Linked DNA regions of Rhinolophus ferrumequinum. The protein of the gene in region 2 interacts with the protein of the main gene of each other region in a pairwise test. Links are inferred from orthologs where the notes say so. Each region holds a gene or a part of one and is shown on either strand. Other genes may lie near its edges.

What was found.
Region 1: the proteins of SGTA (region 2) and GRN interact in binary tests that used the Homo sapiens proteins (3 or more experiments, as listed by UniProt). The two-hybrid records come from large-scale screens. The link is inferred for Rhinolophus ferrumequinum from reciprocal best matches to the Homo sapiens genes SGTA and GRN.
Region 3: the proteins of SGTA (region 2) and ZG16B interact in binary tests that used the Homo sapiens proteins (3 or more experiments, as listed by UniProt). The two-hybrid records come from large-scale screens. The link is inferred for Rhinolophus ferrumequinum from reciprocal best matches to the Homo sapiens genes SGTA and ZG16B.
Region 4: the proteins of SGTA (region 2) and ZG16 interact in binary tests that used the Homo sapiens proteins (3 or more experiments, as listed by UniProt). The two-hybrid records come from large-scale screens. The link is inferred for Rhinolophus ferrumequinum from reciprocal best matches to the Homo sapiens genes SGTA and ZG16.

What each region holds. Positions count from the first base shown.
Region 1 is NC_046304.1:39,390,727-39,398,061, forward strand, and holds the start of GRN (progranulin), read left to right. Parts: upstream 1-4,323; 5' UTR 4,324-4,420; intron 4,421-4,682; exon of another isoform or gene 4,683-4,844; intron 4,845-6,476; 5' UTR 6,477-6,511; coding exon 6,512-6,540; intron 6,541-6,993; coding exon 6,994-7,138; intron 7,139-7,258; coding exon 7,259-7,335. UniProt on the Homo sapiens protein: Secreted protein that acts as a key regulator of lysosomal function and as a growth factor involved in inflammation, wound healing and cell proliferation. Regulates protein trafficking to lysosomes, and also the activity of lysosomal enzymes.
Region 2 is NC_046301.1:60,666,537-60,674,362, forward strand, and holds the start of SGTA (small glutamine-rich tetratricopeptide repeat-containing protein alpha), read left to right. Parts: upstream 1-4,824; 5' UTR 4,825-4,946; intron 4,947-7,826. Other genes in the region: THOP1 (thimet oligopeptidase), read right to left, coding at 417-629, 3,346-3,361. UniProt on the Homo sapiens protein: Co-chaperone that binds misfolded and hydrophobic patches-containing client proteins in the cytosol. Mediates their targeting to the endoplasmic reticulum but also regulates their sorting to the proteasome when targeting fails.
Region 3 is NW_022680357.1:4,336,003-4,343,189, forward strand, and holds ZG16B (zymogen granule protein 16 homolog B), read right to left. Parts: upstream 2,702-7,187; 5' UTR 2,646-2,701; intron 2,556-2,645; 5' UTR 2,528-2,555; coding exon 2,473-2,527; intron 2,249-2,472; coding exon 2,143-2,248; intron 990-2,142; coding exon 647-989; 3' UTR 517-646; downstream 1-516.
Region 4 is NW_022680357.1:819,082-825,922, forward strand, and holds ZG16 (zymogen granule membrane protein 16), read left to right. Parts: upstream 1-3,971; 5' UTR 3,972-3,996; intron 3,997-4,889; 5' UTR 4,890-4,896; coding exon 4,897-4,951; intron 4,952-5,114; coding exon 5,115-5,247; intron 5,248-5,927; coding exon 5,928-6,234; 3' UTR 6,235-6,325; downstream 6,326-6,841. UniProt on the Homo sapiens protein: May play a role in protein trafficking. May act as a linker molecule between the submembranous matrix on the luminal side of zymogen granule membrane (ZGM) and aggregated secretory proteins during granule formation in the TGN.

The DNA.
Region 1 (7,335 bases), on a different chromosome or scaffold from region 2:
TCTCTAGTCCTGTATCCAGACCACCACCTCTGAACGCAGCCACAGAGTTGCCCTGGATGAACCACTTAGCCAGAGAGACACATCCAGGGGCCTCTCCGTGCCAGGCTCCTGAGTGGGACCTCCTGTCACTTTGGTGCCTCAATCCAGCAAAGGGCTGGCCTCCGAGGTCCAGTCCAGCTGGGGCTGCAGCTAGGAAGAACATATTTAAAATTGCTTAAGCAAGCGGAGAAGGCAGAAGTCATGAGGGAAGAGATTGATTGCTAGATTTCAGATGATGTAACAATAACACAACTTCTGACCACAAAAGTTATCATAATCAAAGATAAAATACAAATGACAGATTGGAGGAAATATCTGCAAGATAGGTAATATCTAGAATATATGAAGACTTCTCACAATTCAACAAAAAAAATATAAACACTATAGAAAAATGAACAAAGGATGATAAGATAGTTTTATCTGTCAACTTGGTGGGTGTTTATGGATAAGATTAATATTTAAATTGGTAAATTGTTGGTAAAGTGAATTGCCCACCACAATGTGGGTGGGCCATCTCCAATCAGTTGAAGGCCTTCATAGAACAAAAAGACTGGCCTCTCCAAGCAAGAGGAAATTCTCTAGCGACTACCTTAGGATTTCATCTGCATCATTCACTCTCCTGAGTCTCCAGCCTGCTGGCTCACACTGCATGTTTTGGACTTACTAGCTTCCATAATCAGGTGAGCCAATTTTTTTTAATAGATCTCTTTCTATATACACAGCAATTCGTTTTGTTTCTCTGGAGAACCCTGACTAATACAGTTAAGAACAGGTAATTCACAGAAGAAATACATATACAGCATAAGCATATGCACAAATACTCAGCTTCCCTGATGTCAAGGAGATGCAGATAAAACAACCCGAAAATACCTTCTGTCATAAGATAGGCAAAAAAAATTTTAAGTGGTGTATCCAATGTTGATGAGATTATGGAAAATAAGTTTCCCTAAATACTGTGACTAAGAATGTAAAGTGGAAAAATTTTAAGGCAATTTGTAATTAACATTTCAAATGTGTATACCCTGTACCCAGCAATGTTACTTTTAGGAATTTAACCCCCACATATGCACTCAGAGACATGTTCACAAATATTCATTGCATAATTATTTGTAACTGCAAAAAATTGGAAACGTGAAAGTCTATTAAATGAGAATGGTTAAGTAAATTATGTAACATCTATAGTGTGGAATACTTGGCAACTGTCAAAAAAGAAACCAATAAATAAATGGAAAGACATCCCATGTTCATGGATAGGAAGACTTAGTAAGACGGCAATACACCCCAAATTAATCTACAGATTCAGTGCGTTCCTTATCAAAATCTCAGCTGTCTTCTTTGCAGAAACTGATCCTAAAATTCACATAGAAATTTGAGAAAAGCCAAAACAATCTTAAACAGAAGTTGAAGAACTCCCACTTCCCAGAAGTTGAAGATTTCAAAACTTGCTATAAAACAATGGTAATCAAGACAGTGATAATGAATGGCATAAGGACAGGCATATAGATCAATGGAATAGAATTGAGAGTCTGGAAATAAACCCTCACATTTATAGTCAATTAATTTTATCAAAATTAAAAATAACAAGGCCTAGCCAAAGGCCTCTGGGAAGGTCAGGGAATGGGGCAAATGGGGATGGATTATTCTATGTAAAATCACTTTGTGATTCTGGAAATTTGCTTCTTTTCCGTCTTCCCTGTTCACAGAATGATCCTCTCTACTTAAAGTTGAAAGACAGAGGGAGAGAGATTCCTGAATTGGAAGGCATAAGGGCACTGGAGTGTTTTTTGAGGAATATGGGAGAAGTTCTGCAGTCCTTGATGTCTCTCCACTGTACCCTCTCCGTTGAAGTGGAGGTTCACTGCATTCATTTTGACAAGCTATTTAATAAATATGTTTTACATTTCTTTGCTGTAACAATCAGAGTAACTGCCTATGATTCAAATTTCTGTGAATGCTCAGGCTCATACCTTGACTACTAACTACTGTCCTTTAAGAGTGATGTCCATATGGCCCATTAAGTCATCCAAGACTGTTTATCCCTAGACGCAATGTCCCTAGGATGTTGGGCTTCGAAGTTCTTCAGTCTGCTTTTTGCAATTTTTCCTGTTGAACATTTTTAATCCTTGCGAAACTCAAAGTTACTCCTTCTAGAAACTACAGCATGCACACATCCCCTGATCTTTCTATAATCTTGATGCTGGGAAGTCAGATGACAACATTTATTTAAAATACATGAAATAAGAGAAAAGAGGCTCTATGTGAGGAAAACTTTGAGCTCTTTCACGGAGAAAGTTTATGATCCTTTAGAGACTGTTTCTCAACCTCTACGCTGCCAACATTTGGGGCAAAATAATCTCTGTTGTGAGGTCTGTCCTCCGCTTTGTAGGATGGTTAGCAGCATCCCTGGTCTCTATGCACTAGATGCCAATAGCACTTCCCCCCCGTTGTGACAACCTAGAATGTACCCACACACTGCCAAATGTCCCTGGTGGGGAAAATCACTTCCTTACAGATTTTGTGATATAGTCATCCCTTGGTATAAGCAGGAGGTAAGTTCCAGAACCCCCCATGGATACCAAAATTCATGGATGTTCAAGTCCCTTATATAAAATGGCAGTTTTTGTACATAACCTGTCCACATCCTGCACACTTTAAACCATCTCTAGATTACTTATAATACCTAATACAATGTAAATGCTATGTAAATAGTTCCATACTGTATTGTTTAGGGAATAATAACAAGAGAAAAATGTTCAATAGAGACGCAACCATCATAGGCCTAACGATATAGTACACATCAGCAACAATGTAACCTTTTTTTCCAAATATTTTTGATCCCTGGTTGGTTGACCCCATGAATGTGGAACCCACAGATACAGAGGGCTGACTTGTTTTAGTCACTCTAGTCTTTTTTTCCTTCTGGTTCTGTATAGTTGTGATTAATAGGTTACTTTATTGATTTGCCTAACATTTCATAAAAATTGTGTGTGCATGCATGTACTTTATCAATAGAAGCATAAGCTATACCCCCTTGCCTCAGGATACACAGGAAGGAAAATATGCACAAATGTACCAATGTGCAGAATAGTCCCAGATTCTCAGCAGGAGCCTTACTCACTGTCTGGACCCTCTCTAACATGAAGCTGAGCAGTGCTGCCACAGAATTCCTCAACCCTGCCATGCTTCCATACCCAGACTCCTATTTGGCTCCTATCCCAGCCTCACACTCAGCTCAAGCTCTTTCCCTAGTCTGCAGCACTCTCCATTCCTTCCTCCAAGTCCCAGCACCAGGTTTTCTCTGGGCCTCTCCTCTCTCCTGGTGCATCTCCCATCACCCATCTCTGCCTGGACCAGGCCCTTTGACACTGAGCAGTCTGGCTCTGTTGCTGGCTAATCCATTCTATGTAGTACGTTTTCTCTCCTCACCGGCCATGTCAATTCCTGGAAGGCAGCACCATCTGAAACTAGTAAGCCATTTCCACTATGCACTCATCCCCTGCCCAGCCTTGGGCCAGGCGCCCAGCAACTCCTCAAGCCTACTCCATTGAACTTGGCATTCAATCCCTGCCCAAGGCTGCCCTTTCCATCTGGTTTCCTAGTGCTCTTCCCAGCTTCCCCTGTCTAGCCATTTCTTCAAGCTCTTCCGACCTACGTTAAAATCCTTCCAGACTCAGTTCAAAAATTTGCCCCCAAGGTAGGATTAAATCTCTTCTTCCCACCTAGAGCTAACCTACTACTTCTTCCCTATACCCATCTACAGCATTTGGCACACGACGTTGTACCTTAAATTAGATTTAATCTGAGTCTGTCTCCCTTCTCCACCCCATCCTCCGCTGTGAGCACCTTGAGGAAAGGGCCGGAGGGCTGTTTATCCTGGTACCCTTACAACTCTCCTTCAACCTCAAAGTTTAATCTGAATTTGTTGAATAGAATAGAAACAGGACGCACAAATGTCCCAAATGCAGAAGCGGACATCCTTTAAATGCCCTTGAACGCACCCTTGAAGGGGCAGCTCCCCTGGCTGTCAATATCTCCAGACAGACGCTGCCCGGTCTCCAGCAAACTCTACTAGGCGGCCGCAGGAGGCTGCGAGGCCGGTCCCGAAGCCGGGTTGAGCAAGCCAGGGCATCACATGATTCTCCGATCACATGATCCCTAGAAATGGAGGGTGGGAGAGTCAGGCTGGGAGGTGAGTGTACTGAGTACAAAAACACAGCACTCCAGGATGGCCCGGCCCCTACGTCGACAAGTAGCGAATGGGAGGACGACAGCCCGGACATCTGGCCAATGGAAACTGAGGTGGGCGGGCCATCGCGCTGCGAGGCCCAAGTCCTGGAGCTGTGGGGTGGCTGCTACCCAGCGAGCGCCAAACGGGACACAGGTAAGGAGGTCGGCTGCGCAGACCTCTCCCTTGCTTCTTCAAGGGCCTGGCCATGGGGTCGTGGGGACTTGATGTTCCTCTGGAGTTTTAGCTGGGAGGCAGAAGATTCATTTAGAGAATCTCCTTTGGGGGTTTGCGATGTATGGGAGGGAGTTTTATGAAGGGTGGGAGTAAGCAGTAATGGCAGTGACCCCCTTAGAAAAGGGCAATCTCCCTCTACATCCCAGCATCCCGGAAGCTGCAGCCCCTTTTCCCAAAGCAGGGACCACTCCGTTCTTGAAGACCTCCGCCCCCCATCAGCTGGTGCTGGTGCTGCTGCTGGTGGTGGGTAGTGCCCACGGCGTCTGGTAGAGGGAGAGGCGCCCACCCTGGCCAGGAGCTCAGACGGCTGGGATTTAGACTTGAGACTCAGGCCTTCTCAAAGGTAGTAGGGACTTGGGAGGGTTGTGTCTGGCTCTCCCTTACTTCCTCTCTTGAGGGTGGGACAAGCTAACTTCCGCCTCTCCCAGCCACGTTTTCCTGCTCATTGGTAGTTGGATTGTTTCACCTTTTGGGAATCTCTCTCTCCTCCTGGCACTCAGCGTTGGGGGATGCCATCTAGTGGAAGATGACAGAGCTGGGGGCTTGAAGAGGCTCCTGTCCCTCGCTGGTGTGGCCGTGTGGATGGCGTGGGGTGAGAGAGGCCATAGCTCAGAACACTCCTGAGAGGAACTGGGCCCTCTCCTCCCCCATCCCTGGTCCTGAGTGTGTGCGCATGTGTGTTCAGTAGATGCGTACACTATACTCCCTAACCTCAGGATACCCCAAAAGGAAAATAAACATAAATAAATAACTAGGGTGCTGAATAGTCTGAGATCTGTACCGACAGGCACTCCTTCTGGCCTAAGCCAAGAAGTGGGTGGGGCCAGCTGTAGATGCCTGGGAGCTGTGGGCCCCGAGAAGTTGAAAGGGACCAAGGTCTAGAGCCAGCCTTCTTCATCCTTACCTGGCGGAAGGTGGCCTCCTGGGAATGGTCTTTGTGCTAGGGAGGGGACTCTGAGGGAGGGCAGGTGAGGGAAAGAGGATGTGAGCGACTGTGTGTGTGACGCCCTGCCACGCAGTGCGCTTGCACTGTCCATGCACACTCAGTGGGAACTGAGGCACGGAGACAGGGAGCAAACTTTGAGGCACTCACAATCAGTGGCAATTGTAGGTCTAGGACCCAAGTGCAGTATCCAGGCAGCCCATGTGCTTCCCATTTCTGTCCTGTCCAGGAAATACTTCTGTCCCCCTTCTCTGCTTGGACCCCAGGCCTCTATCCTCCCAGGGTTTGTTCATTCCCATGCACTGTCCATAGTGCCACATGTGAAATGAACCCAGTTCCAATATGCCCTGGAGCTGTCAAAGCCTGTTGTCTCCATGACTTGATATATAAAATTGGTGTATTGCTTAACATCTCTGAGCCTCAGTTTCCTCCTTTGAAAAGTAAAGGTAATAATACTACTTTGGTTGGTGGTTGCAAAGAAGAAAGAAAATATAGAGTGTTTAAACTGGCTCCTGAAAAGCTCAGCAAACATTGCTGTTTTTGCCCCTCTAGGCAGGGAGGGTAATGTCTCCCAGGCCTGCCCCACTGAACTAGCAGGGCTGGCTGATCATGGGGGAAGAGTTGTGTAGGAAGCAAGAGGCTGCACGCTCCCCACCTCTCCCCTCCCACAGACCGTGGCTAGTTCTTTCTACTGACTCAGAGCAGCAGCTGGGTGGGCACTCGTGGTTTCTCTCCCTGTGCAGCAGAGTTTCAACTCTAGGGTAGGGAGAGAGGCCGAGGCAGGGGTATGGTACGCTGGGCGTCTAAAAGGGCCTGGTGGTGTTGGGGGACCATTAGAACACAGGCGTCTTAAAGGCTGTGCGACCCAGCCTGTGTGTCCCTTTCCCTGGGTAAGGACAGGACAGTCAGTGGGTAGGCTGTGGCTGGCCTCTGGGAGAGGCAGCCTAGACTCCACTGGCCACATCACTTCCCTTTTCACAACTTTCACAACCCCGTGGTTTACCATGTCATCATGTGACCTCTCACCAATAGGCCTTTGCAGAGTGCAGGTGTGAGCACAGTATCAGATGAGGAGGCATCTGGAGGGGCTCGCTGGGTAAGTGGAACCCTGACTTTTCTTCAGGACGGTACTCCCTCCCTGCACCCCAGCTACATCTTCCCATGGCTACTGATGGCCTCCCCTCCCCCCCAGAGGTGGCCTCATTTCCCACAGATCAGACCCACAAAAGCCACAAATCTTCCTGATTCTCACATGCCCACATGTCTACACACTCACCCAGAGACTCAAGTGCTGGACCATGTTGGGGACACAGATTCATATGTACTCATGTCAGCATTCATGCTCATGGGTGTACATGCGCTGGTGCAGGTGTGACACGCATGCAGGACACATGTAGGAAACTGAATCTCAGAAACTACAACTTGCTTCCTCTCTGGACAAGTTGTTGTGGGGAGGCTCACGTAGTCCTGGGCCTGGGAGGAGACTGGCCCCAGAATCAGGGATGGCAGGGACTAAGCTAGTTGCCAAATGCCTCTTGATATTCTGCAGGTGGACCATGTGGACCCTGGTGATCTGGGTGGCCTTAGTGGCAGGGCTGGTGGCTGGAAAGCAGTGCCCAGATGGACAGCTCTGCCCTGTGGCCTGTTGCCTGGACCCTGGAGGAGCCAGCTACAGCTGCTGCAATCCCGTTCTAGTGAGTACCCTCAGCCTAGGCAAAAGCTGGCAGCTGGGATTTCCCAAAGGGTCATCTGGAACGGGCCACAGGAGGGGACCAGACTCTGGTCCTCCCATTTATCCTCTCCTCACTTTCCAGGACAAATGGCCCACAGTGCTGAGCAGGCGTCTGGGCAGGCCCTGCCAGATCGATGCCCACTGCTCTCCTGGCTACTC
Region 2 (7,826 bases):
TCCGAAAGGGAGCAAACAGACCCCAAGGAGGAGAGGATTCAGCTGGGAGGCAATGAGGACACGGGACAGCATCAGGTTACCCAAAGCACGGGGGGAGCCCACGGGGAGAAGAAAAGCAAAGGGGCCAAGTTCAGTTCTCAGACAGAAAACAAATATCCCCTGGGACACAGAAAGGGGTGAGAGGGGCTCCAGTTTCAAGGCCGGCACCTGAGCTGGCTCTTGAAGAGGGATGCCATTAGACACGCTGTCCCCTCTGGGTCCTCAGATGACACACCGTGAGTACCAAACGTGTCAGGTGGCCAAGTGAAGCAGGGCACATGGGCACCGGCGCCCCATCACTGGGGAGGCCTTCATCTACCGCGGCCCCCAGCGGGGTGGGTGTCAGGGTCCCCGCCCGGATCCTGTCCTGGACTTACCTGTGTAGGACACCTCCACGTCGGCCAGTGCCTTGAGCGTACTCTCATAGGACACGTCCTCAAACTTCTGGGAGCCGACCTGGTCATACACGCGCTTGGTCTGCTCCATGAGCTCCATCGTGAGCTCCCCTATTTGCTGGGCGCTCAGGTCCCATCTCAGGTAGTTCACCACGGAGCAGGGGGCCGCCGTGTCCAGCGCATCTCCTGCACAGGCTGCACAGGAGACAAAACCCCACGCCAGTGTCTGCTTCACGTCCAAAATTAGGGTCAGAGTAAGGGGAGAGCAGAGGGAGAGGACCACCATGTCCCCCAACAGATGGGCAGGTGACTCTGCTCCCCATGGGACACTGGATGATGTCTGGGGAAGTGGTCGTCACAACTGGGGAGTGACGCTACTGCACTGAGGAGGCGGGGTCAGGGATGCTGGTGAGCACCCCAGTGCCCAGGACGCTTCCGCTCCGCTCACCCGAGATGACCCGGCCCCAGTGTGTGTCAGCAGTGACAGGTGGACATTTGATGTATACCTGCTTTTCACTCAAAGGATGTGATGACAGGGGGCAACCCCTGACTTCCCTGGATGTGACAGGACATTTGTATTGTATTACCTTTCTAAAATAGGGGGACATCCTGATGACTGAAACATCCCTAGACCCGAGAGCTTTCGGACAAGAGATTGTGATCCATACTATGCGGTCCCTTGACAATTTCCATGTGGGGTTCAGAGCATAAGATGTTTTGTGCTCGTCCCCTCACTGAATTCTCAAACTGGTCTGTACTCTGCATCCGTTTGCCTGTTTTGTAGGAGGGAATCCTGAGATTGGGAGCGTTCAAGTCTCCCGCCACGATGATCCCACAGCCAGCAAGGGGCAGAAGTGGGGCTCACGCCCAGTCTGCGTCCACCCCCCCGCTATGAAGTGGTGTACTGTCCTCACCCCACCTTTGTAAATCTGCACGTCTGCTTGTCAGGTCTTCCTATCTCCTTCCCAGGCCTCCACCCTGCACTGACGAGTCAAGTTCAAAGCCTTCATCAGTCTACACCACGGGTTGGCAAACCATCGCCTGTTTTTGTATAGCCATGAGCTAAAAGTAACTTCACATGGGCGGTGGCGTGTGGCCACCAAGTCTAAACCATGTGGCCCCTTACTGACCAGTTTGCTGATTCCTCATCTACATTGTCTAGACTCTACTGGGTCCTGTACGGCAGGTTTGGCCAGCTGGTTTTGCCAGTTGCTCTGTGCCCAGTCACACTGGCCTGTTTCAGTCTCCCGAGCCCTCCTGCAGTTTATTCCCTCTGCCCTGAGGCCTTACCCCGCCAGTCTTTCTTTCCACATTCCTTTCTCAGAAGCCCACCCTTCCACAGCGTTCCTATAGCACCTGGAGGCCTGGAATGGGTACACCTACCTTGAGCTAGGTGGGCTGACTTGAGTTAACTTAATGAACGGAGTGGTGTAGAACGCGTAATAAAGAAGAAGGGGCTGCTTCAGGAAACACCCAGCTATACCTCCCTTCCTCCTTCTGGCACGGCAGGAGTTGAGCAGAGCCAAAGGAGTTCTGGCCTCCTCCTCTTGTGAACACGGAAGGTGTCTGCAAGGTGCTGCTGCCTCGGACCTGTCTGTGGTGTCTCCAGGGCAGAGGTGTTTACCAGCATTATCAACACTGGGGGCTGGCGGGGTGGGTGCTGAGCACCATCCCTGTCCCTCCCCAGTGGTGACAACCACAGATGTGCCCAGGCAGGGCCCCATGTCCCCTGGGGTGGCACAATCACCCCGGCTGAGGACCGCTAATATACACTAAAGCGGGGGGGAAAAGGCTTTCAAGTCGGCACAGGTCAGATTTTCTGGCCAAATGGCTGCTGCAAACTTAGAGAAAAATCTTTTGTTTGCAGAGTATTTTGGATTTCAGAACTGACGAAAAGGGACTGCGGGTCTGTATCTCGTGGTAAAGAAGGGTTCCAGGGGCTCAGAAAGGTGATAGATCCATGAGTCGCAAGTGTCAGAAAAACCATCTGGAGGAGCTAGGATTTGAAAAATTGGAGCAGACCTATTCATTCCATAAACACTTACTGACTGATTACCACCTATGTGCTGGGTCTCCAAGCTAACAATCTTGCAGCAAACAAGGCAGACAACATTCCTGCCTTCCTGAGTCCTCCATAACCCTAGTTGTAATTACTATTATTAATACAATTATCATCATGACAATGGGCTGGAGAAAGAACTGGGGGAGGACAGGCGGGCAAGAGAACATTCCAGGAGACACCACACAACAACCTGAGCGATTTCCTAAAATACAGTAAACAAGTCACATCGCTCTCCTAATGAAAACCCTTCCTTAGCACACATTTGCCTTTAAAAGTTGTGGTCTAGCCAGAATGACTTACTCTCCAAACGCGTTACCGGTTCCTGCCTACTACCAGCCTTTGCCCTCACGGTTACCACCACCCGGACGCTCCTCCCCGAGGTCTTGGCGGGACAGTTGCATTTCCCCATCGAGTCCAGGCTGAAATGCCACCTCCTCCCAGAAGCCCTCCAGGACTGCCCTCTCTAAAGAAGAGCCACCAGCCCTGGCACCGACCACTCTCTAAAGCTCTCCCTTTCTTCTTTGCTTGTTGAACGTCTGTCTCTGGCTCTGGAACTTCGTCTAGAACTCATGGTCTCCCCCTGAATCCCCCCCAGGGCCCGACCCGTCCTTAGCAGAAGCGACGTGCAGTTGGCAGAATGAGTGAAACGCTGGAAAAGCTAGTTCATTCATTCTGCTGTGGAGAAGACGGGGCCCCGGGATAGCCAATTCCTGCCCCCGCCAGGGTCCCGTTCACCCCCCAGTCACACTTGGCTCCGCTCTTAGCTCCAAGTCGCGACTCCGAGAGGCACGAGGGTGCAAGGGGCGCCGCGGTCCGGAGAGCGGGAATGTACCGAGGGGCAGCCGGTACCTGCGGGGGGTTTCATGGCGGGCGGGTGTGCACCAGCGGCCACTCCTTCCACCTGGTGCGCGTCGGGTCGCCTCAGCTGCCGCGACCAGCGGCCTCCGTCCGCTCGGTAGCCGTAGGGGATGCCTTCGCTACCGAGGCGCCCGCCGCCCGCGTGCCCACTGAATGCTGGGAGGGCGCGTGCACTCGCGACCGAGCGCAGGGCGCACGCGCGCGTCAACATTCACACTCGGCACGCCGCAGCCCTCCCTGACTGTCATTGGTCGCAGCGTCATGGGGGAGGAGACTTGGGGGGAGGGGCGTTTCCGTGGAAACCTACGCATACGGCTAGTCCCGCCCAACCTCCGAATCTTTGTGGTTTTGTCTGTCAGTCCTCCGCCTGGGCTTCTAGTCCCCGTATTGATTTGTATTTGTCTCCTCTCTACCCTAAAAAAAAACAAAACAAAAAACAGAAACGTAAGCAATTAAGTATGCTCGAGAAAGCTTCAGTAAACGGATCCAGAACTTCAAACAACAGGTGTTTCGAAACAACGCTGTTAAAACAAACAAAATCTTAAACCGTCTAAAGTACCCAGAAAGAAAAATTTACTAGAACTAAACTTCAAAAACAAACCCACCTCCTTCATTTCTGCAAAAGAAATTAAAATAATCCAGGGCGTTAAACGTGCATACGTTTTAAATATAGAAACGAATCGGCAGAACTCTTCTGGCAACTTTAACATCAGTGGTAGGCAGTTCTGAGTCATCCTAGGGTATTTCTCATCACTTACCCTCTATTAAGTATACCAAGCTTAATTCTATGTTAGTCTTCATTTCCACTGTTCCCTGTACGTGGAGTGTTTGTCCTCATTCTTCAAATCCAGTTAAAAGGCCCTCCCTGACGATCCCAGCCAACTTACCTCCCCAATCACAAGCACAACACCCCATTTTTTCTTCACAGCGCTTGCCCATTAAGTGAAATTTATTCATTTATATACTAGTGTACTATACTATAATCCGTCTACCCCAATACAAGGTAATGAGAGTGAACACTGCTGGTCTTTATACTTGGTTTGCAATACCTGTTTGTTGACTATTAGGGACCTGCAGTGAACAATCTCTGTATTCCTTTACAATTTATGGCTTGAAAGAATGAATGAATGCATTCGTGGGTAAATGGGTGGATGAATAAATGAACAAAGATAGTGGATATCAGTTGCTCGCATTCACAGAGCGCCTGCGTCCAATTAGGCGCCCGAGACCCAAATGCTGCTGTACCACGTGGCCAGCTCGGCGCCTCGTGACCCGCTCCGCTATCACGGAGAAATCCGCCACTGTCCCACCATGCACCGCTCTCTTCCCGCTGTAGAGGACGAATCAGTCTTGATTTCCGGCCTTCACTCGGTCGCAGAGGTCAGTTGCCCTAACGACCAGCTCGTTCCCGCCTCTAACCTTCGTCACTTCCCCCCACGCCCACCTGAATAATTGACGCGCTTGCGCAAAATGACAGCCAGCGCGCGAGGAGGCTCTTTCCGCGCAGGCGTCGCGCCTGGGGGGGCGGGGTTGGGCGCCGCCGCGGTGCGCAGGCGCAGCCGTCGGTGGGTCGGGGTTCGGCGGCCTGAGCGGTGAGTAGGTGGGCACGGCGCTGAGCCGGGCGGGCCTGGGGTCCGCGGCTCGGGGCTCTCGGGGCCTTGGGGTCCGTAAGGGGAGATCGGGCTGAGGCTGGGGTCGCCGCGATCCACAACAGTGTGCTGTGTGAGTGGGCGGCACGGAGGGGAAACTGAGGCTGGGTGGCGTCGGGCAGGCCCTTGCCAGCTCTGGCCTTCCTCCTCCGCACCCCAGGCCCGGGAAATGCTAGTTCTCAGGCCCGTGGGTAGACAACGGGAAGTAAGAGCGCCCACATGTAGTTATACCGCTATGGGTGTCCGCTGCTGTCGGGAAACAGCCCCTTTCAATTGGGGGGCCCCCATTCGTGAGGCTCAGGTCGGGGCTCCTGTCCCAGCGCCGCCGCTCTCCATCTGGGTGACCTTGGCCACCCTCTTGACTTCTCAGAGTCTCAGTTTTCCACTCTGTAAAACGGGCGTCGTCACAGTCACTGCCTTGGGGGGGTTCGGGACGGGGGGTGGTGGTTTTAAAGCCACAGAGCGCAGCGCAGAGTGAGAGCACAGAGGGATCAGCAGTTAGTCTTATTTCACTCTTAGACTCTTCTGCATGCTGTACGCGAGGCGGGAGAAATCTGGGCTTGAGGACCAGCTCCACCACCTCCCGCTGGCTGTGTAAGCTTGGGCAAGTCGCTTTCTCTCTCTGAGCAGCACCATTCTTCTGCTAGAGAGACTGTAGAAATATATGCCTGCTAGGGTTATTGTGAGGTTAAATATACCTAGAACATTTTTTAATCAGATTCCTGGTGCTTGTTAAGAGCTCACTGGAGAATGACCAGTCTGTTTTTCCTCTCTCTAGACCAGTGGTTTTGTCCACCAGAGAGGACACTGGGCAATGGGGACATCTATGGTTGTCATGACTGGGGTGTTGCTGGCACTGAATGGGTGGCGGCCAGGGGTGCTGCTCAACACCCCCACAGTGCCCAGGACGGCCCCCCAGAGAATGGTCAGCCCCAAATGTCAGCAGTCCCAAAGTTAAACCCTACCATTATACCACTGGTTCTTCACCAGCAAGAGCTTGAGGAGGAGGGTTTTGAGCGGGGAGGCACAAGAAATCATGTGCAAGGTTTTGTGTGTGCACCCATTTTTGTGGGGACAGGAAAGGGTACTTTGGCGTTTAAGCTCTGGAGTCAGACTGCCTGGGTTCAAAACTGATTTGTGACTTAGCTGGGTGACCTTGAGAGGCAACCTATCCATCTAAGCCTCAGTTTTCCTTTCTGTGGGATGGGGATTAGACAAAGCAACCCAGGCATCCAGCAAACTGGTCAGGGGAGCAAGTCCAGCTGCAGCTTGTTTTTGTAAATGAAGTTTTATGGATAGAGCCACACCAATCGCATAGGCTTTATCTGTGGCTGCTTTTACATTGTATTAGTAGTGTTGAATCGTTGCCACAGAGACCCTGTGGCCTGGGAAGTTGAAGGAATTTACTCTGGCCCTTTTCTGAAAATGTTTACTAACCTCCGAAATAAGCCATTGCATGTACAGCACTTAGCTCAGTGCCTGGAAGGTCCTTGGGACTCCAAGGATTTCACCTGAGGTTTACAATTCAGTCTTCTGGAAGGATGAGTGACTGTAAATGGAGTTAACCTCGGCCCCAGGTCGAGAGCTGTAGTCTTACTCTATCCTGCATTTTTTCTGCCAAATCCCAATGCTGGCTGAGGTAGGAAATGCTCAGTGAGGACTGAAGGAATAAAGGGGATTGTGAGTAGGTAGGTGAGACTGAAGATCTAATGAGCAAACCAAGTCCCAAAGAGAATGACCTCCACAGGGAACCTGGTTGTGTGGTTCTGAATTTAACAGTGACCTTATGTTGTCTTGAGTCCATATGGATCAAACGCCCCCAAGTGCTGGGGTTCAAGGGCAGATGATCTATCCAATGGCCCACAGTCCACTGGGGTAAGACAGGCCAGGAAAGTGTCCTACAGCCTTTTAGGAGGTGCTGGACCAGAGGTGGGAATCGTACTTGGTCTTTGCTGGAAAAAGAAGGTGTCCAGACTCTGTCTGAGGCAGTGACTTTGAAGCTTAGTGTGGAAGATAGAGTAAGAGTTTCCCCAGTGGGTCAGAGGAAAGGCGAGCAGTCGGTTTGCGTGGAGCACAGAGGGTTCAGATTAGGCCCAGCGGGTGACACACCCATGGTGACGGGTCATGTGTGCGCCCACGTGACGTTTCAGGGAGCTGTTGAGGATTTGTTGAGTGTGCAGGACATCCTGGTGGCATTTTTGAAGAAAACAGGGCTGGGCTGGAACCCGAGTTCTAGTTTGGGGGCAGCCCTTCTTGGATACAAGAGGGGTTCTAGGATAGGAGGGAGGAACATGGTACCAGCTTGCAGACACCTGTGTCTGTGACAGGAGCTGTGGAATGCCTGCTGGAGGGGCAGAGCGCCCACGGAAGTGGTGGGCCTCCTTCCGAAAACAGGTGCTTCTTCCTGCAGCGTGAGGGTCTGGTTGCTCGTTTTCAGTAAGATGTGCCCTTTTCCCCTTTCAGTCCTGGGCAGGGAAATGAATGGAGGCTGGTGGTGTTTTGTTTGTTTTTTTGTTTTTCAATGATAAAATGAAAAGGTGGGCCGACAGCTGGAAGGGATTCTGAAGGCGCCAAAGAGGGACTGGGCCCAGGACCCCTGCTCCCACCCCCAGCATCCGTGCACACTCACCAGGCTCCTTCATGCACCCCACGCCGCGGGGGGCCTTCTGAGAGCTCATACAGGCCTCACTGTTCAGAGAGAGAGTAGGCCTTGACAGTGTTGTCCAGCAGCCAAAGCCGTACAAGTTGTGATTGTTCCAGAGACACCGGGTGCCTAGCAGCCAGCAAGCAAAAGAGCTGTCACGGTGTCAGGCTGGGCCCAGC
Region 3 (7,187 bases), on a different chromosome or scaffold from region 2:
CAACGCCCTGCATGGATCCTAATTAACACAGATGCCACAGCCATCTGTTATCGTATGCTTCTGCATTCATCCCCCATGGGGTGCCCTTCAGCTGGACACCTGGCTTCTTTATATTCCCAGTGCTCAGGAGAGCCTGGCTTGGGTGAAGTTTTGGCAAATGTGTGCTGAGTGAGTGAATGGGTGAATGAATGAATGAATGACTTCCCTGAAGCCCCTTGCATAATCAGAGAAGTCTGGGACTGAGCCTGGGCCAGCGGAGACCTGCTGGCTGGGCTTGGGGTGGGGAGTCGGGGGCAGGGCATCCTGAGAGCCGGGAATCCTCAACGCTTGTAGGATCGGCCCAGGTCTGCATAGACAGGTCCTGCATCCTCAGCAGAATCACCAGGGCTTGGAGTGTCAGACCCACCTCCTGTCTCATCCTGCGGCTTGGTTCACTGAGTTCCACCCCGCAGGACTCAGCCCTCATACACTCAGAGGGCTTTGGTTGTACCCCAGACCAAGAACCACACCTGGAAGCACTGTTCTTGCAGAAGCTTCATTTATTGGATTCCAATTCAGGGTCCCACCTCAGTGCCGTCAGCCCGCCACTAGCCAGACGTCCTCAGCAAGGTGACCCCACTCCCCATCCCTGGGGACCCAGGAGCACTCAACTTCCCGTCTTCTGTTCTGGTGGCTCAGTGTCAAGCTCTTCTTGAGGATTATCCCACTTAAAACCAAGGCCCGTGACGCCGAGACCCTGATACTGGCCAAAGAGTCCTGTGAGCACCTTTTCGGGCTGCTCGGGGTAGACGACGAAGCTGCGGCCATCCTCTTTCCCAAAGGCAGCCCAGCGCCCGATGTCGGTGTATATGACCAGGTACCGGAGGTAAACTCTGTGCATGCCGTACACCCCTATAACGTGTTCTCTCGGCCACAGGAGGAACTCCTGCATTTTCCCGCCTGCGACCCCATATATCTCGCTCCAGTTGGATCCATGTTTCACCTGGATACTGGGAGAAAGGGGGAGCTTTGAATACCCCAGATCCAGGGTGACTCCCCACTCCCCAGGGCCTCTACCCCTGCATCACCTCTCCCCCCCGCAGCCACTGGCAAGGAGAGCAACCCTGTCACTGCAATACAAGTCCCTGAGCATATGGCTTGGGGTTCCTGAGACACGTACTGGTGTCAAACCCCTGCTCTGCCGCTTTCGGACTCTGTGGTCTTGGGTTTGTTATCCAGCCTCTCTGTGCCTCAGTTTCTTCATCTGCAAAGTGGGAGTGATGGTTGGGGGCAGGCACTGAGGTCTCCATAAGGAGAGTTCTACACAGTGCCCGGTCACCATGACCCTCAGGTGGTGCCAGCGGTCATCATTGTTCAGAGTGGGGAGCTGTCCCCTGGCCAAGCTTGGGCTTTCTGAGCCCAAGCCACTCCAAGTAGATCAGGTTGCAGGCCTAAGAAGCAGGTGAGCTCCCACACTTACCAGGGTGGGGGTTCCACTTGCTCCACCCATCTGGACTCATCTGTGTGTCCTCGGTGCTTGTCCTAGAGCCTCCGCCTCCACCTCCCATGCCCGCAACTCGTCCCCTGTAGTGCCAGCTTCTCTGTCCCATTCTCTCTCCCAGGTCCCTGGGACCGCTTAAGTGCAGAGCAAAGATTTGCCCCAGGCTTTGAGCAAGGACATCACCCCCACATTAGGGGAACGTCCCTGGTCTTTCTGCCTGTACACACTTTTGGCAACTTGTGTTCAATCAGGGGTCCACTGACCCTCACTTCCTTTCCTCCTTGACCCTGACCTTCCCCCCTGATTTTTCCATCAGGCATTCTCAGACTGAAAGGCCGTTTTTGGTTGAGTTGGGTTTGGGTGGAAAGGAGAAAGTAGGGAGAAACATCACCTCCCCCCCTTTTTGAGATCAATGACTGGACTTGCAGGTGGAGACAGAAAGAAGTGAGGTTAGCACGCAGGAGAGGAGGTGGGTGAGGAAAAGGGACACATGGAAAGGTGACGGCTGGTGGCTCATGACTAAAGGACTCAAGTGGCCTCAAAGAGTCATCAAGAGCCTAGTGAAGATGTTGGAGAAGAGGCGGTGATCCCCCTCCCCAAGTTCCCAAGACTGTGGAATGAATTGGGTCGCAGTGACAGGGCCGTGCCCTGCTCCTACTCACCTCTTAAATATGCCTATAGGGCCCACAGACACCCGAATCCCAGTTATGTCATTTTCTTCGTCTACAGGGGTACTGAAATACGTTCCTCCTCCATTCCCATACATCTCTAGATGGATAAAAGAACCAGGTGAAAAAAACAACACACACACAGTAATATACAGGTGATCTTTGCCCAGACTTGATGCAGCCCCTCCAGGCAGATGGGACGGTCCTGAGACTAGAATTAGTCTGTAACAAGGGCTGGGCCTAGACTCTGGTCTCCTCGTTGGACGGGGTGAGGGTGGCCACCAGGGGGATGGGCTGGAGGGAGGCAGACCCAGCCAGACTTACGCTGTGCCCAGCAGGTGGTACTCCATAGGAGGGTGAGGGTCAGCCACAGCAGCATGGCTTCTGGCTCGTGAGTCCCAAGGCTCCTGGAGAGAAGGGATAGGCCACCTGACTCTCAGAGAGGGGCCCTGCCTGACCTTGTTGGGCCCTATCCATGAGAGGGGAGCACCACCTACCTGGCCAGGAAAATCTTGTCACCCAGTCCTGGCACTGGGAGTCTTGCACCTGGGTGCCCTTCACTTGGCCCTTTATACTCTCCCAAGCCCTGTGGGCCCCCATCCAGAAGGAAGGAGTGGGGGCCACCAGGGGGACAGGAAGGAGCTGGTCGGCGGGGGTTCTTCCTGGGGGAATCCCCGGAACCATCCTAGGGGAAGCTCCCGGACATGCTGTGTTTGTTTTCTTGGACCCAGGGCCTATACAAACAAAATGGGACAGTGACAGGGATTTCACTGTCACCTCTGGGTCTCTCCCCTCAACACCTGAACTAAATCTTGACTTCAGAGGTGGAGGATGTTTGCTGAGAGCCCTTCTCAGGTTGGCCAAATGGGTTTCAACCCCATGGGGGGGATGTAGGTCGAATGTCCGCAGAAGGTCCATGGGGCACAGGAATCTTGTCTTGTGCACAACTGAGTTCAAGACCTCATTCAGGCCTGGGCAGAGCCTGGAGTCGTGCGGGGTCCCGGGAGCCCAGGTCAAGCTCCCAGCTCCCCCTCAGAACTGGACTGGACGACCCAGTTCTGTGTGTCTGGTGTGAGGTGGAAGACATATCCCAGGGCTTCCACGGCCTGTCACTTGGAAGATGTCTGTGATCTTTCCTCTGTGCCAGGCCTGGGAGTAGCTAAGGATGAACTAGCCTTAACGGGCTATAGGATGACCAACAGCAAAGGTGCCATGACAGGAGGCGCAGAGGATTGGGGACAGGTGAGCCTCCAGGCCAGTCCTTCCAAAGGCACCTGCGGCCAGGCCAAGGGGTCAGATTTTATCTGGAAGGTAACAGTGTAATTCTAAAAGGGTTCTGGGGACCCTGCTGGTGTGGCAAGTTCAGGCTTTCTGCGAAGGGCTGGAGCTAAGGCTGTCCACAGGGGTCTCCCCAACCATTGAGAAGAGCCACAGGTTGTCAAGATAGGGGCTGAATGGGGGTGTGGGTGCTGGAGCCAGATCAGGTCCAAATCCTTTCTTCCCTACTTGCTAGTCATGTGGTTTGGGGAGCGTATGTCACCTCTGTGTGCCTCGAGTATTTCATTTGATATATGTGGATAATGGTAGAAACTACTCATAGGATGTTATGCAAATTTAGCAAGATGCTTCTCCAGCTAAGGGTCTGAACACCAAAGACTTTATGCCATGTGGACAGGTATACAAGGTTTTTCTTTGCAGCATCCTTTGAAACCACAGATTAAAAACAACAAGACTTGTCCATCTAGAGGTGACCCATTACATAAACGATGTTGTCATCCATACAGTGGAATACTACACAGGTGTGAAGAAGGAATGAAACACTCCTGCTGTACTGACACATTGCCCAAGGACACAGGCCACTGGAGACACGAGGGCTTAGAATGTCCCCATTTGGCTACAAGGCTGCAAAGAATGGCCTCATGTGTGCACAGACTTGCTTTGGGAGTGCTGACTCACCAGGAGCTGGGAACACTGGTTTCCTCAGGATGGCAGTGCTGGAAGGCCTGGAGAATGGGGTGGAGGCCCTGTTAGCGGGCACCTCCATTATCCACAGCAGGTACCTAGGGCAGGGGTTAGTTACTATGGTCTGCAGCTGAAGCTGGCCCTCTGCCTGTTTCTGCACAGCCCATGAGCTAAGAACACTTTTTACATTTTTTAAATGATTAGGAAATACTCAAAAAAAGAATAGTATTTTATGACACACAAACATTCTATGAAATTCCAGTGCCATCGCCCACCAATAAAGTGTTACTCATTTGCATATATTCTGGGGCTGCTTTCAACTAGAGGCGGAGCTAAGTCCTTGTGACAGAGACTTTAAAACCTAGAAAACCTAAACTGTGTCCTCTCTGGCCCTTCACTCACGTCAGCGGACCCCTGGGATCCCTGTTCCTGGGAACAATCGCAGCCCTGTCCATGGTGCTGGATACGCGGGGCTGGGAGGTCGGGAGGGGAGTTCCATTTAACAAACACAACAGAAAGGTGCTCTATCCTGAAAACTGTGCCCTTTCTTCTGACTCTGCACTGGTTTCCCTGCAAAGGCTCCTTGATGCTCAGGCCTCCCAACCCCCAGGCTCCAGAAACCTCCTCCTGAAAGGAGGTGGAAGAGGCCTAGGACCTCACAGCACAGCTCTGGGAGGCAGGGGCTGGCAGGTTGCACAAAGGGGCTTGTGTTCCTGCCCCAGCCCAGCCGGAGGGTACTTTTGCGAGTTTTGCTGCCAATTCAGGCATTTTCTTTCCAGCTCCAAGCTGGCAGGGTTTGGCGCCCAGAGAGTCTGTCTGGGCGAGGCCTCCAGGAAGCACTACCTGGGGTGGGAGTTGGAAGAAGAGACAGGTTTCTGGCCTGAGCAAAGAGGGGATAACTGAACTTGCCCAAAAGCACACATGAAGCACATTTTCATAGAGCTGTGAACATAATTATAAGGGATGGCCCACGAATGCACCCTCATACACACACACACACTTACTCAATAGCGCCACGCACAGGAGCTTGCGCATGCCCTCCACACACGTGCATAGCCTCGTGCACACCTGCATAGGAGGCCCCGAGCCTGTAGGAGACCCTCCTCCTCTGTCACTCTGGCCCAGTGCTGGCCCTGAGCCTGAGGGAGACTCAACACAGGCCCTTTGTCCCTTGGGATCAGAGCTCCCCATGAGGAGATTTACTGGACATTTACAAGGTCATAATCTCCTCCATGGGCGTGCCCCAGACCTCATTCTGCCAGGAGCCCCAAACAATGGGCCCTTCTTCCAGCAGAGGCAGGCCCTGGCCTGGCTGGTTTGGTTTTGGGGACGGGGCGGGGGGGTGGTCAGGGCTGGCTCCCGTGAGCTCCCTGCCCTCTGAGTGTGGGGTTCGGGCATCCTGAGGCATAGCAGACAGGAGGGGCTCCATTCCCTGCCCACTCGTCTGGCCAGGCCTCCCTGCCACCCTATTTGGGAAGCCCTCAGCCCATCTTGGAGGATGGAACTGTGTCACTGGTTCAGGTCTCAGGGGTAAGCCTGGCCTGGCTGAGACTCCCAGGGCAAAGTGGGGGAGCTGGTTCCTTCACATGGCCTCATCTGATCCCTGGGGCCCCAGAAATCAGAGGAAAAAGCCTGCTGGGTGGGGGACGGGAGTGACTTTTGTGGCCTTTGCTGGCCTTTGTGTTTTTCCCTTGAGTGGCTGCTGCCAGGCAGAAGGTCCACATTAAGGGAGGGGGCAATTTGGCTTTGCGTTTCTGAAACTCTCAATGCTTTCCCACTCATTCACTTACTCACTCATTCAAATTCTTAATTGGATGCTGAGCTCTAACCTAAGCATTTATCTCCACTTTTCCCCAAAGAAACTCAATCCTTTTCTTGGAAAACCAGGACACCTAACCACCCATTTTATCTAATCTTTTATGTAATTCAAATTCCGTCAGTGCTAGTGCTGAAAAGAAAATGAATTCTACCCAAGTGTGAAACTGAGGGAGGCAGGGGATGCAGGTTCTGATTCCCTAAGGCTGCCCTGGCAGGTGTACTCGTTACCTGGTGTATTAGTCAGCATGGGCTGCTGGAACAAACACCATAGACTGGAACACTTCAACAAGAAACTGTACCCTACCTGAAGTCCCCGGAACCTCTGGTCCCAGCAACACTGAGGCCTCTATCCCCATTAACAGGACCATCTGCCCCCCGCCATTAACAGGGCCTCCCTCCTTTGAGAGACTCCACCATCTCTCTGAGGCCCAGCGTTCTTAAAGAATTCTTCTCTTTGTAAATATCTCCTTGTTGTTTTTGAGAGTTTCGAGGTGTCTTGACAAGCAGGTATGTGGGTCTAGGCCTCCATCCTGACCCACACCCTAGACCTCCTTCCATCTGCCTGTCCTTTGAATCTGCTTTTCCGAACAGATTTCTGGAACAATGTTCAAACGAAACTATGGTTATTTCCAGATGATTGGATTTAGGACATTTTTCTACTTCTCTGTTCTTTTTTTTATTTTAAAGATTTTATTGGGGAATGGGAACAGGACTTTATTGGGGAACAGTGTGTACTTCTAGGACTTTTTTCCAAGTCAAGTTGTTGTTCTTTTAATCTTAGTTGTGGAGGGCGCAGCTCAGCTCCAGGTCCAGTTGCCGCTGCTGGTTGCAGGGGGCGCAGCCCACCATCCCTTGTGGGAGTCGAACTGGCAACCTTGTGGTTGAGAGCCCGTGCTCCAACCAATTGAGCCATCCAGGAGGCAGCTCAGCGCAAGGTGCTGGGTTCAATGTTAGTTGCAGAGGGCGGAGCCCACCATCCCTTGCGGGACTCGAGGAATCAAACTGGCAACCTTGTGGTTGAGAGCCCACTGGCCCATGTGGGAATCCAACCGGCAGCCTTCAGAGTTAGGAGCATGGAGCTCTAACCGCCTGAGCCACAGGCCCGGCCCTGTTGTTTTTTTTAGTTGCTTCAATTTTTTTAAAGATTGTACCAATTTTATAAAAACAAAGTGATTATTCTTTTAATAACTGAGATGCATTTTTTAACCTACAACTTCACAAAGGATATAAACGTGGAAGTCCTCAGTGTCGGGACTATT
Region 4 (6,841 bases), on a different chromosome or scaffold from region 2:
AATACCAGGGGTGCCAAAAAAATATATACAAGTGGACACTTTGCTCAGCGTTGCTCAAGCAGTAGTGACATGTGATGCTCTCTTATTTTCTGTTCCACTTTTGAAATATCCTGGTCTTGAGCTGTTAAACCAATTTCATGGCCCACTGAATAAGGCTAAAACCTACAGTTTGAAAAACCCTGTCCTTGAGGATTTTGAGACATTTTTTTTCTTGTTTTACCAATGCAAGTTCTGTAAGTTCACATAGCTTAGAAGTGTTGGATGGAGGACCTCATCCTGGAATTCTGTCTTTATGTCCAGCTTTCTTCTGAATACAGAGTTTCTCCAGAGGAATCCTAATTAAGAAACTAAAGGAAACCCAACTGCAACTCTGGGAGAGGAGACACACAGAGGTGTGAAAAGACTAATGAGGAGCATTTCATGGAAGTTTCCCTGCAGCCTCGGCATTTGACAGTTATTTTGGGGTGCACCTCCTCTGTGCCAGGTGAGATGCAGGAGATAGTTCAGAGATTGATCAAACAGTCCCTGCCTTCGAACATGCTTGTGTTTAGCAAAGGAGGCTTCCATTGTAAACTGATAAATGACAGTGCAGGGTAATTAGAGCCAAGCTGGTGATGTAGGAAGCACAGCTGGAGACCAGGGAAAGGAAGGAGGAATTCTGTTTGCAGTGGAGGGGCTGGGAAGAAATGAGGCAGAGGTGCTTGTGAGAGGCTTGGTGGTGGGTGCAGGGGAAGGTGGTGGTGGTGGTGCCGGTGTGACTGAACGTTTTGAAGGGAGAGGACACTCAGTGGGCTTCTAGAAGGAAAACCACACCTGGAGCAACTTGCAGGCGCTGCGATGTGAGATGCAGGCGTCAGGAGGGCAGGGAGTGGAGGGACCCTCTTTGCCACTTAGTGAAGTCACTGCTACTCACTAGACTCTTCATTGAAGCAGTGAAGGGCGGACAGGAAAGTGATGTTCACAGATTTTTTTTTTATGGTGAAACCCTTTGTTCAGATGAAACCACCAAGGAGCCTAACGTGTAGGTGAGGAGGAAGAGGATTTTTTTTTCCTTAACAGGAAACGTATATGCCATTATTTAGAAATATTGTTTGAGAAATCCTTGATGGGGGTCAAGGATCAGATTCTCACTTTGCGGTCTGAATTTGCACCAAGACTTTGAGAACAAAGCTGTTTTGTCTGAGAGAGGGGGCAGCTCTCAGGCAATCCAGGAGGGCAGGAGAGAGGCTCCCAGCGAAATGGGGGAAGGTCCACGCATCTCCTGCTATGGCCTCCATGTCCATTCTTATCCACCCTCCAGTCCATTCTCCCTCTATCAAAATCCAGAGGGAATAATCCCTTTTAAAAGGCAAAACCCTTCCATGGCTCCCCTCACTCTTAGAAGGAATCCAAGCTCACGACCAGGGCCCCCCAGGCCCTGCGCCATCTGCTCAGGGCTGTTGCCCAGACCTTACTTACCACCAGCCACCCTGCCCTCCCTGCTGCTTCTAACTGCATCCCACACACTTCCTGCTTAGAGCTTTGGGGCTTGTTGTTCGCTCTGCCTGGCCCCCTCTTCACCCAAATTATTTGTGCTTCTCACCATTACTTCAATCGGGTCTCTATGCAAATGCTACCTGACCAGAGGGCCTCCCCGCAGACAAACAGCCTTTCCATCTCTCTTCGCGCTCGCTCTCTGCTTTGTTGATTTCTTCAGAGGCCGTATCATGCAGTCGCGTAGTTGTTGGCTGCCCTGCCCCACTGGCATTTTCACAGGTGGGGTCGGTGTGTCAGAGTGACCCTACGACAAGTGTGGGAGCCTGTGTTCTGAGGGTCCCAGATATGTCACGCAGGGAAATGAGGGCGTTCTCCCACGGTGTTTGCCTCAGACCTCGGCATGGATTGCCTGTGTTTGGTCTCATACTATGTTATCGATATGCTTCTAAGGAAGAGCTGAGGTGGATGACAGTGAGACAGGAGAGAGAGCACAGAGCTTGGGAGAGATGGAGAGACAGAGATGAAAGGAGGCAGAAGTAAACCAGCAAGGGAGGGAGGGAGGGAATGTAAAGAAAAAGCCTCAGAGCTGGAGATGTGGGGGAAGGAAGGTCAAGACAAAGGGAAAGAGTGACAAGAGAAAAATTCTGAGACGTTTTAAATTCAATTACAGCAGGCAGGAGAGGAAGAGAAACACAGGAATAATTAACCGGTTAATAGCTGTGGGCCAAATGACAAACGACTGCTCACATTCCTGAATGTCTGTGGAAGCTTTGAATCGACCTGCGGGCATCTCTCAGCCGACCACTAGATGCCACCGCGTCCTGAATGTGCAGGAACTTTCAGGACTGTCACCAGGAACCACTGAGAAGCAGTAAATATGTCTTCCTTACAGACCGTGCACTTATCCTAGAACTACCTCCTTTCACTTCACCTCTTCCAAGCCCCCATAGCTGCAGCCAATGTAAATCCTTTCGAAACAACTTACATCTTCCTCCCCCCAAAACATAATGTATGAAAGAGCCCTTCAACTCCAGGACGGCGGCCAGGTTTGTCTTTTCCACCCAGCCCTGCTGCTGCTGCTGGTGATTTCACGCCCCAGGACGGGGTTAGTTCGGGGCTACCATATGGCTCAGTAAACCCTTTCTTTTAAAAACGCTTTCACCCATGGAAGTCAAGATTTTTGTTTAACAAGAGAGAATCAGGAAAGAAAGGCAAACAGAGAGAGGACAGAATGGCTGGAATGAGGTCTGAGTCATGTCACCAGGACATGTTTGTTTTGGACTCCGATAGCTCAGACAGTGATGTATTCTCAGCATCCTCCTGGCTCTGGAATCTCCCCACCAGGAGCCCCACTCTCTTTCCAGCTCCTTGGGGTCGGGTTCCTTTTGTTCCCAGGAGCCCCAGTCCCAGGTGGTGAGCCTGTCAGGGGGTGGGGTGCTCTGAACGGTCATTAATAACCCAGGCTAATGAGTCCAGCACCTCCCTGGACTCCATTCTTTCTGCTCAGAGGACCTGCTGCCTCAGGGGATCAACCCTAGAGGGGCCACAGGGTAGGACCCAGGAATCCGTCCTGGGCATTTTAAGTGGCGAGGAAATCAGTCCTGGCAGAGAAGGGCCTGGGAAGAGAACACATCTCTGCCAAAACCCCAGGGAAGTTTCAGACCTATGGGGAGAACAATTGTCCTGCGTGGGCTGCTGGCCCAGCCTGGGGCCCGGGAGTTCTGAGGGCCCTGAGCCCAGAATTGCCCCCAGAGGGCGACCTGTTCACTGTCTTCCCTCAACTTCCCACTTGCCTGCTGGACTGAGTCTGTTCCTGGAAGGGGAACAGACCATTCAGTGTCTACGTCCAGCACCCTTCTCAGAGAGAAAAGGTTTGTGAAGGGTCTGGCAGATTGAGGATGGATAGATCGGGGTGGGGGTGTCGGGGGGGCAGCAAGTACAGCAAAATATAACCACGGTAGAATCTACAGGTGTGTATACGGGCATTCCCTGTGTAATTCTCCCAACTTTTGTATGTTTGGGGTTTTTTTTCATATAAAATATCAGGGGGAGAGAGAGAAAAATTGTTTGGCAAGTAATAGGCACCCCTGGTTGTAAGGCGTCAGCAGTGTAATCCCTTTCTAGGGAAACTGATATCTTGAATGGCTGGAGAGGTTGCAGGTGAGGGCATTTGCAAACACCCACTACAGGAGGAAGAGAATCTTAGACCACACCCAGAGGTGATTAGTAACTGCTGACCCCAAGCTGCTGACCCCTCGGTTGGTGACTTTTTCTTAAGTTTATTCTGCCCCTCCTGAGAGCTGGGCCTTGGCCTAAAGTGGACCCCACCTGCCACCTGTGACCCTTGGGAGGAGGGGCAGGATAAGATGTTCCAGACCCTGCTTGACAACTGACCCTAAAAGGTTAGTCATGTTTGCTCAGGAGGTGAGGTTCACACGATAACGAATGGGGGGAGGGCCTAAAACTGGTATAAAAGATCTGGAAGTTTCTGGGGGGTTACTTTGCGCTTGAAACTGCCAGGTGAGGGGTGACAGAGGCCTGGGCTAAGGTGACAGGGTGACAGGGATGCCTGGATTTGAGTTAGGGGGAGTTCAAGCTGAGCTAGAGAAGAGCCTACCTGGATGGAGTGGCAGGGGAGACCTGGGGCATCAGGGTTGGAGCCACCCATGGGTGTAGCGGTACCTGGATCTCAGAGGAAGGGCTGGGGACCCCTGGTTTGCTCAGGGGCACGGATATGGCCAGATTTGTGTTAGTGGGAACAGAATTGTGACAAATAGACCAGGCGCCTGGGATCTAATATCTTGAGCTGGTCCCAACTCCTACACCTCAATCTACGCCACCTCCACCAGAATTACTTGGGCCCTGGTGTTGCCAGTCTCTCCTATCACCACCTTGACTCCCCAGGTGACAGAGAGACACATCTTAAAAATGCCCCTTTCCTTCTGAGACCAGGGGGAAGCTAGGAACTTAAACTCTGCCCCAGGTGCCCTGTGAGCCAGGCCCACTGACCGCAGGCAGACTTCCGTCAGGTTTTCTCAGACTCCTGATGGGTAAACTAAACCATTTCCATGATTTGGAGAGTTCCTCTGCTTCTTTAGAGAACTTTCCTGCTTTGTGCCGGGAGGGAACGGGGCTTGACACTGCTTGATCCAGATGGAGGGTTAGGATCCATCTTCTGGCTACAGTCAGAGGAGCGAAAGGCAGAAGGGTGAGGGACACAGAAGATGAATTCTGCAAGGAACAGGACTAGAGACTACGGATAATCCTTTCTAAGCCCAAGACTGGATCGGCAAGGGCTGAGCGACAGGACCAAGGAGCCTGAGTCTCAACTCGAGGTCAGGGGTGTCTGGGTAAGTGAATTCCAGAGGAAAAAGGGTCCATCTTCACATTCTCCTTTCTTTCTTCCATTCTAGCGCCAGAATGCTGACCGTTGCTCTTCTTGCCCTTCTTTGTGCCACCGCCTCGGCCAATTCCAGTAAGTGAGAAGCTACGAGCCCGTCCCAAGGTCATTGCTGTGGCCAAAGTTTTCAGAGGCGGGCTCGAGGTGGTGGGGACTGAGTAGTGCGGGGAACAGGGACGGTGGGGAGAACCCGAGTGCTCAGGGAATATCTCCCTCCAACTCCCGCTTTCCCCTCCAGTTCAGATCAGGGCCTCCTCCTACAACGGAGAGTATGGCGGCGGCGGCGGCGAACGGTTCTCTCATTCTGGCAACCAGCTGGACGGCCCCATCACCGCCCTCCGTGTCCGAGTCAACAGATACTACATTGTAGGGTAAGAGTCTTTGAGTTTCTGGGGTTTGGGAACCCTGTGGCATCTTACCAAATTGGGAAGTTCTCAGCCACTTTGGATCACGTCTGTTTTAGTCAGTAAGTCCCAGGGATGACGTGGTGTATTAGAGGAGTTGGATTCCAGACCAGTGCGGCTGAAACCTACACCCCAAACACACATGATGACCGTGGGTGGATCGCATACCGTAAACTCTCAGGGGCCCAAAAGTTATCTAGGTTCGCCCCCACCCGAGGTGCGAGTCCCCTGTGGCACCTTCCATCTTTGCGTGTATCTTTCCAATCGTGGCTCTGCATCCCGGGACAGCACCGACAAGGCTTTTCCCTCCCGAGAGCCTTTTCGATGTTTGAAACATCCCTGCTTCTTTGAGGTAGGGGGTGGGGGCCGAGTGGGGGTCTAGACGGTCCATTCCAGCGCTGGCACTTACTGTCTGGGTGACTCTGGGCGCATTGTGTTACCTCTGTGAGGCTGTTTGTCGTCAAAACGAGGAGCTGAGGTCCCTCGTGTAATCTGCAAGGGCTCACGCAGCCCTCATGTACTGTGGGATGAGCGGGAGTCTTGTCATTGTCACCAGGTTGGAGCTGTCCACATACAGGCCAACAGGTCCCGGGCTCTGATCACGCTTCTCAGTGTCTCCCTCTCTTCCCTCCTCGCCCCTCCCCCAGTCTCCAGGTGCGCTATGGCAAGGTGTGGAGTGACTACGTGGGTGGCACCCAGGGAGACCTGGAGGAGATCTTCCTGCACCCAGGGGAGTCGGTGATCCAGGTGTCCGGCAAGTACAAGTACTACCTGCGGAAGCTGGTCTTCGTCACTAACAAGGGCCGCTACCTGCCTTTCGGGAAAGACACAGGCACGAGTTTCAATGCCGCCCCATTGCACCCCAACAATGTGCTGCGATACATCAGTGGCCGGGCAGGCTCCCTCATCAATGCCATCGGCCTGCACTGGGACGAATACCCCACTGACTGCTGAGCCCCAGCCACCTGCAGTGGGGGTATGAGAACCCCTCACCACTCACTCCATCCACGTGGTGCAACAAAACAATAAAAGGGCATGGCTAAGGCTTGTGGGGTGTGTGTGTGTGTTTGTGTGTGTGTGCTCACGCAGCTGCGATCCCTTCCTGACTCCGGGTGTCATTCTTGGCTAGGACCTCCATCTGGGGTAGAGTGGGAGGACGAGGGAAAGAGGTAAACGTTTTGGGCATTTCTTCATTTATCAAAAGGAGGTAAGAGTCCAGCTTGCACCAACTCTATTTTCAAGGATAGCTCCTAAGAGTGTTTACCCAAACTGAGGTTCTGAGGCTGAGGCCTCGTCGTGGCTTATTGCCAAAACCCCAGCTGTTCCACTCTCCTGCTGTTCTCTCCTCTTGTTCCCCGCCCCCCCTTTGAGATAGCACCAAAAGGCCACACCTCAGTCTCTTGATCTGAACCTGTTCACTGTATGTGGGTGGCCTGAGTCATTATCCTTTCCCAGAACCCACCTGACTCCCCAAGTTTCGCGTCATTGTGTGTCTAGTTCCTCCCCACCTTTACCCATAAGCCCTGGTTTTCTTGCTTAGCTCTCTCAGAACTGGGGTTCT